2 linked regions of the Cricetulus griseus genome follow. The protein of the gene in region 2 binds, or shares a complex with, the protein of the main gene of each other region. Links are inferred from orthologs where the notes say so. Each region holds a gene or a part of one and is shown on either strand. Other genes may lie near its edges. The genes, in order: Csf1 and Csf1r.

Region 1 (3,809 bases), on a different chromosome or scaffold from region 2:
CTTGTGTTTGAAGGGGCTAGCGGCCATACAGAGGCTAATGAAAATTCCCCAGGGTGATAAAGACCTTGTAAAAGCCTCATTAGAGGAGGAGGAATGTGGTTGCTTTGGGATTGAACTGTCAACAGCAAGAATAGAAACATAAAGCAGAGGCAGCAGTAACTAGTCTCTGTGGGGGAGGGGTGCAGGAGCAAGGTGAGACCTGAGGCCTGGAAGGGAGGGGCCTAGCTAGACCTGTTGATGAATGAATGAAAATGGGAGTGGGATAGAAGAGAGGAAGTCAAATGTGTGGGTCTCCTGGGAGTTGGTGGCTTCTGCAACAGGGGAGGGTAACTGGAGATAGTTCTTTTTAAGGGCTAGAGAGATATCAAAGTCAGAGCCTTACCTTGGACTCCTTTCTATACTGGCAGTTCCACCTGTCTGTCCTCATCCTGGGTCAGGGGGCTGCAGGCAGAACACAGGGCTGACATAAGACTTTGGCAGGAGCATGGGACTGAGGATATCTTCTAGCTTATCCCAAACCCTACACATGGGTTCTATCTCTGATATATAGAAGTTCCAGAACTGGCCAAGTCTAGGAAGAAATCAGGGGAAAGCCCAGCTGTTGTGGAAAAAAGAGAGGCCTTTCTTTGTACCCACCCTGCTCTGCCGCTCTAGTTCCTTAGGGAAATGGAGAGAAACCCTCCTCCAATGTAGAGAGGAAACAGGCCCCAAAACAGACATCCAGTGCCTTCCACAGCCCACTGCAACTTCTCACCTGTCCTCTGGTCGCCCCACAAAAGAATCCAATGTCTGAGGTTCTCGATGAATCTGGAGACAAGAAAGAATTGTCTTAATGAGGTGTTGGCATGCCCCCAAGCATTGCTGAGAGTCACAAGAATTCCTCTAGCTACCCGAAAGCATGAACAGCTGAGGGAGACTCCTGGACCTCTTGAAGATAGGTGCTACTTCTCCTGTCCCCTTCCATGCAGAACACCACCCATGTTCCCTCAAGCTCCCAGAATAGCATTCCCCTCCTCTTCCTTCCCTTTACTAGCTGGTTGTTCAAGAATTCCCTTTTCTATAGCTTTTTGTTCTCATCCCTTCTAAATAATCTGCGGCTGGAGACCTCTTGTTATATTTATTTATTTATTTATTTATTTATTTATAAGACAGGATCTCTCTATGTAGCTCTGGCTGGACTAGAACTCACTATGTAGATCAGGATGGCCTTAAACTCACAGGGATGAGCCTGCCTCTGGATTTCTGGGTCAAAGGCACATGTCATCACCACTCCTGGTACCTTCTGATTCTTGAAGCAACACTCCATCACCACCTTCTACTCTCTGGGTTGTCATCCCTACCTCCCAGCAACTGTAGAGCCTATTGCAACCTAGTTGTCCTCCAACCTGCCCCATAGGATATCCACCTCTCCTGGGGGGTTTCCTTACCCTCCGCTTCCACCTGTAGAACAGGAGGCCCCCAACAGCCAGCAAGACCAGGATGATGCCCGGCACCAGCAGGTGAAAGACAAACTCAGAGATCTGGGGGTCATTGGGTCCCCCACGCTGCCCCTTCTTGCCTGTGTCAGTCAAAGGAATGGAGTTAAAATGGGCCACAGGCCTGGCTGCCCCCTCACTTGCTGGTCCTCCTTCCAGCTCTGCGGGGCTCCTTCGATCCCTGGTACTTCTCTTGCCCTCAAACTCCCCAAGGGGCAGCACAATGCCCCAAGAGTGGCTTCTCGGAAGCAGTGACTGAGCAAAAGGGGTGGCTGGGTTCCTGAGGCCTTGGGGACCCAGTGTCGAAATGTGGGGAGAGCCTGGCTCCTGGTGGTTTCCAGGCAGTGTAGATGAACCATCTGTCTTCTCAGGAGTGTGATTCTGTATCTGGCTAGTGGGTCTCATAGCGTTCACCTCTGGCAATGGAGTGCTTGTTTCTGCTGGCTGTTGGTCTTCTGTTGATTTATGGAGTGGAGAAGATGCTGAGAAGTTGCTGGAACTGTCAGTCTCTGCCTGGATGCTGTCCCCTACAGGCTTGGAGGAGGAAAGCTTTGCTTCCTGGGTCAAAAAACCCTCACTAGCCTCTCCAGAAGCTTCTTCTAGGACCCAGTTAGTGCCCAGTGAAGATTCAAGGATGTCTTCCACACCAGGGATAGGAGCCTCTGAAGATGGAGGAGACTCTGAACCCTCAGTGAGTCTGTCCTCATGGTTTGGGATCTCTGGTGACTCGAGGCTCTGGCAGGTGCTTCTCGGTGGTCGCTGCTTGGCACTGCCTGGGTCCTCTGTGCGAAGGGGCTGCTCACTGGGCAAGAGGGAGTTGCCCTCTGTCCTCTGAGAATCATCCCAAGCCAAGCCAGCCAGAGGGGCCATGGAGGGGGCAGGGGGCTTGTGAGGGGAGGTAGAGGCCAGGTCACTGCTAGGGGTGGCTTTAGGGTACAGGCAGTTGCAATCAGGCTTGGTCACCACATCTGAAAGAACCACAGAGAAGGGGAGAGAGAAAGATGGGGAGGAGATAGAGTCACCAGCCTCTAGCACAGCTCCCCCATAGGGATAAGAGGGGGTAAGGCCCTGGGGCCTGGGAAGGGGGACCCTCTTCTAACCCAGCCCTGGGGCTGGGGAGAAGGCAGGACAGCAATAAATGATCATGACACAGAACTCAGGCAGAAGGGGGTAATATGGACAAGGAGAGAGCAGGGTATCATGGACAAGGAACCAAAAGCAAGGTACAGACAAACAGAGGGGGGCTTGAGGAAGACCACAGGACAGTTTACTGGGGCTCTAGCTGACTGGATGTCAAACCAGGGGTAAGCAGCAGCTAGGCCAGGGAAATGAGCAATAGCTCCTGGAGTAACACAAGACATTTGGAAGCCCCCAAGACACTGGTTTCATGCACAGCCAGGAGCCAAACAACCACAGCCACAGCCACAGCCACAGCCACAGGATGGAGAAGGCTGAGGCTAGGAAGCAGCCACAGTTTGGGATTTTGGGATTGAAGCACTAAGGCTGGACTTGAGTATTGTCCCATTGTAGGAGCTCAGCCCCTGCTTTGGGGAGTGAGGCTGAATGCAGGATACATGTGGCACAGGACGCAGAGATGAGGACACGCAGAGTGCACAGGTAGAGAGAGTTTGAATGATGTTCAGACTTCAAATTCAGCCTTGTCCCTTGAGGAGACATCCAAGGCATCCGGGGGACTTCTGGAGCCAAGGTATCCTGGTGTTTTGCAGCAGGGCTCCTGGAGCAAGGACCCTGACTGCCAGATGGAGCACCTGCTTTTTCCACGGAATCCCCATTTATTCAGCCAGTCTGCAGAGCCAAGGTGGAGAAGCCACCATGCCTACATGGTTCTCTGAGAAAGTTCCCGTTCCCTCTCGCTACCATAACAGCCACCAGCATGAGCCTTCTTGATGCTGCCACATCAAGTAAGGCGGTGAGACAGTACATGCAGGCATAAGTCAGTGTACATGCACACACATGTCAGCAAAGACATGTGCCCAGGACCCTGAGGTACATGAAGCCACATGAGTACATAAAACACACAGAAACACACGTAGCAGCCAGGCTGCCTTTGGGATTTCCCTAGCCCTTTATCTCACTGTACATACACCCTCCCTGTAGCTTCTATGCTTACCTTGACTGGAGCACTTAGCAAAACTTTTGTTGCAGTTCTTGCTAAAAATATTCCAGTCCTTTTCAAGAAGATGTTTTGTTTCATTAAAGACATTCTTGATTCTCTCCAGCAGCTCGAGGGGAGTCTGATGGAAAGTTCGCACACAGGCCTGGAAGAAGAGCAGAGCCCTTTTTAGTAATCACGGACATGGGCCTTCTCTCACT
Region 2 (3,809 bases):
ATGCTGATGTGGAAGGCCTCAATCAAAAATCTGTTCTTTCCAGGTGTGATGAGGCCCAGGCCTTGCAGGTTTGGAGAGATGCCCCTTTTGAAGTCCTGAGTCAGGAGCCCTTCCACAGAGTGACCATTCAGAGCCAGCTGCTCATTGGGACCTTGAAGCACAACATGACTTATGTTTGCAGGGCCCACAATAATGTGGGGAACAGCTCCCAGCCCTTCAGGGCCACCTCTGTAGGTAATCCATCCTTCTCAGACAGAATGGGCATCAGATATCTGGAGACTGTCCCTGAAATAGGAAAAATTAATAAAAGTCTAAAAACTTAGACTATAGAGCCCATACTAGAAAAAGTTTCTAAGCTCTTTTGAGCTCCCTAAGGCAGCACAAAAGATTAATGCTAAATAAAGGACTGAGGATGTGACCAGAGGCCTAAGACCAGATAACACACCACCAGCTGTGTCAACATTTCTTTGTCCTAAATAAAACCAGATTCGCAGTTGTAAAAATCCCTGGCCCAGGAGATAATTAACTCAATGCCCCTTACAATATCCTATTCAGTTGTATCCTGCTTAAACATACAGTTATTGTTTTATCCTATGTAACCACGGAAGCTTTCAGCCTTATGGTCTATCCCCTTAAACCCTCCCCCACCCCTTAGCTATAAGCCACATTCCACTTGCTCCTGAGTGAGTGGGATCCAGGCCATGGCTTGAATAAAGGAAACCTTTGCTTTTGCATTGGGTGAGTTGCCTCCATGGTAGTAGTCTTTTTGGGGTTCCATGAACTGGACATAACAGTCCCCTCACCTCCAACCCAGGAATTTCTACTTGGAGGATGTCTCAGTCATGCCGAGTGCCACTTCTGGGTCACCCTGGCTAGTCCTGAGCCACAGAACTCCAGGGATAGCTATATGGAGAGGTTCAGAGTCCCTCACTGGGGACTGAAGTGGAAAGGGCAAGATCAGGGAGTGGGAAAAAAGAATGAGACAGAGACACCCAGACAGAGACTGAGAGGACCAAGAGAGACTGAGTGATACAGAGAGAGAGACCAGTAAGGTAGTCCACTAGTCTTTGGCCCCTGCTTCTCTCTGCATTCAAACTTATATGAGGGAGAAAGGAGTTGAATGAAGAAATACAGCTTATCCCAAGTCCACAGCTAGAAGGGATGCTTCCTCTATCCCTCTCCAAATCCCCCTTGTTTCCTGCCCCTGCCTGATCCTGAGACACAGTCCTCAAGGGGTTTCCAAGTGCTGATATGGAGCCTGCATATGGGCCTAGTCTCATGCAAAAGCCCACAGTCTCCCCAGGCCATTAAACTGCTAGGATTTGGTACCTACTGTGTCAGGGTCTGGGTGAAGCTCTCAATTCAGACTGATCAGGGCAAGCTCTTGGCTTCTGCTTGGCTCAGGGATCATGTCACTTATGTCCTCCAGTCACTAACATGGAGCAGGTGTTGGCAGACCTGTTGCCCCTGTTGTCTGTGAATGCTGTGTCACTGATGGTGGTGGCAGTTTTAAGTAGTGAAGCCCCACTGTGATGAATGCTAGCATTGTACCAGGCATCGTCTCCATGACCCCTCACCCATTAGCAGTAAAATCCCTCCTTCATGGTTGTAAAAATCCCTGGCCCAGGTATGGAAGGATGACACACCTGAAATGTTTAGAGAAGGCCTACTTTGATATCACTCATCTACTAAGGGGCTCTTGGCTGAACATGGAAATGAACTGTGTCCTTCATACCACATTAACATAACTAGGATTAGAGGTCAGGAAGGGGAGACTAGCTAGTACTCAGACTCAGTAAGTTGCTGAGCTCCTAAGGCCACACAAGAAAGCTGCAGGAAAGCTGAGGAAGGTGTGGGTAAACCCTCCACCCCCCCGGGCCTCTCTGCCCACAGGTGCAAATGATAAAGCCCCACCACTGGGGTTTTGTACAAGCAGTGGCTGGGCACTGAGCCAATCTGCTAGAGAATTTTCATGCCCTGGCAGAGGGATGGGACTGAGTACACATCACCCCACCTGCTCATTCCTCTGTCTCCCTCTTCCAGGAAGAGTCGAGCAGCTCCCTGATGAGTCCCTGTTCACTCCAGTGGTGGTGGCCTGTATGTCTATCATGTTTCTACTGCTGTTACTGCTGCTGCTGCTCCTGTACAAGTACAAACAGGTGAGCTGGGCATTGGAGCTGGGTCAGGGACCCCCCCACACACAAGGGAGCCAGATGTTGGTGACTGCTGCTCATACTAGCTCATTCTGATAGACTGACTTGTAACTAGAGCTCTTCATTAGGTGTCTACTGTGTGTCAACATGGCCTAGCACCAAGGAGCTCCTGGTGCAGTAATTTTGGGCTTTACTGTTGGGGGCAGGAGAAGGTATACAAATAAGGATGTGCCTAAAAGGTACCTAGCTCTGCCTGGCTCTGCAGAAGAGACGGCAGGAAAGTGGGTATGTTGAAGCTCCTTTCTCTGTCTATAAATTGGGGTTCGTGATGCCACTTTCCTTTGCAGTTGAAGCTTGAGAGGGTTGGTGGGATGTCTGGCAACTCCCCAGGTGTCCCCCTTGTAGTACTTGGGGGTGGTAAAGGGATCTGCCAGTCTGGCATGGGGGGTAGTGGACCCAGGTGACAATGCCATTCACCTTTAGGGCAGTTGGTGTTGCCATCAGGCCTACATAAGGCCTTTCCCATCTCAGTTCCAGGGTCTGGTGGTGTTGGTTTCTACCTACAAGGACCCAGTTTCCTGGGTGGAACCTGTGGAGTTCAGGGGAAGCAGCAGCTTCATAGATAGCCCCAAGCTAGAGCCATACTTGTTTGTGAGTCAGCTGTAAGGTGTGGATAGACTGGAAGAAGTCTCGGCAGTCCAGTTCGGCCGAGAGTTCAGATTGGAGGTTGGAGATAATAGAAGGAGGTACCCCAAACATGATCTCAAAGGGAGTGAGGTCTATCTGGTAGGGAAAGTTCTGTACCCTATAGAGGGCAAAGGGAAGGAGAGCCACCCAGTCTGTGCCAGTCTCTAAGGTCAATTTAGTTAAGTTCTCTCTCTCTCTCTCTCTCTCTCTCTCTCTCTCTCTCTCTCTCTCTCTCTCTCTCTTTGGCTTTTCGAGACAGGGTTTCTCTGTGAAGCTTTGGAGCCTATTATCCTGGCACTCGCTCTGGAGACCAGGCTAGCCTCGAGCTCCTACACTTGCCTCTGCCTCCCGAGTGCTGGGATTAAATGCGTGTGCCACCAACGCCCGGCCAGTTAAGGTCTCTTTTAAAGTTCTGTTCATTCTTTCTACCTGTCCTGAACTCTGGGGTATATATGGGCAATATAATTTCCAATCTGACCCCAGTGCAGTGGCTATTCCCTGACTTACCTGAGAGGTGGAAGCTAGTTCATTGTCTGGCCCCAACAATGCAGGAAAACCATACCTGGATAGGATGTCATTAAGAAGCTTCTTTGTGAGCCACTTCATGCCTGACCAGAAAAGCTTCTCTACCCCTCCTGAGTGAAGATGCTGTCGTTGGTGAACCAAGTCTCTTTGGCACTGGGTAGAGGGGTGTCTCTTAGGTCCAGTTGGATGACCATGAGGCTGAAAGCCCGAGATTACACATTTCTGTGGTAAAGCAAATACCATATGTTTAAGTTAAGATACAAATGAGCAGCCGGGTGCTGGTGGCGCACGCCTTTAATCCCAGCACTTGGGAGGCAGAGGCAGGCAGATCTCTATGAGTTCTAGACTAGCCTGGTCTATAAGAGCTAGTTCCAGGACAGCCTCCAAAGCCACAGAGAAACCCTGTTTCGAAAAAACAAAAACAAAACAAAATGAAACAAGATA

What was found.
Region 1: the proteins of Csf1r (region 2) and Csf1 are in contact, whole or in part, in a crystal structure (PDB 3EJJ), measured with the Mus musculus proteins. The link is inferred for Cricetulus griseus from reciprocal best matches to the Homo sapiens genes CSF1R and CSF1. Residues at the interface, in NP_001032948.2 of Mus musculus: Arg142, Arg146, Leu149, Arg150, Lys151, Lys168, Val169, Leu170, Ser172, Asn173, Val231, Gly232, Phe233, Leu248, Ser250, Asp251, Phe252, Asp254, Asn255, Tyr257, Lys259; in NP_001107002.1 of Mus musculus: His38, His41, Met42, Gly44, Asn45, Gly46, His47, Phe87, Gln90, Asp91, Asp94, Arg98, Asp101, Glu110, Arg111, Gln113, Glu114, Leu115, Asn117.

Annotation. Positions count from the first base shown.
Region 1 is NW_023276806.1:49,411,297-49,415,105, reverse strand, and holds part of Csf1 (macrophage colony-stimulating factor 1), read right to left. Parts: intron 3,755-3,809; coding exon 3,607-3,754; intron 2,444-3,606; coding exon 1,428-2,443; intron 808-1,427; coding exon 755-807; intron 442-754; coding exon 396-441; 3' UTR 383-395; intron 1-382. UniProt on the Homo sapiens protein: Cytokine that plays an essential role in the regulation of survival, proliferation and differentiation of hematopoietic precursor cells, especially mononuclear phagocytes, such as macrophages and monocytes.
Region 2 is NC_048595.1:177,982,343-177,986,151, reverse strand, and holds part of Csf1r (macrophage colony-stimulating factor 1 receptor), read left to right. Parts: intron 1-43; coding exon 44-234; intron 235-2,043; coding exon 2,044-2,159; intron 2,160-3,809. UniProt on the Homo sapiens protein: Tyrosine-protein kinase that acts as a cell-surface receptor for CSF1 and IL34 and plays an essential role in the regulation of survival, proliferation and differentiation of hematopoietic precursor cells, especially mononuclear phagocytes, such as macrophages and monocytes.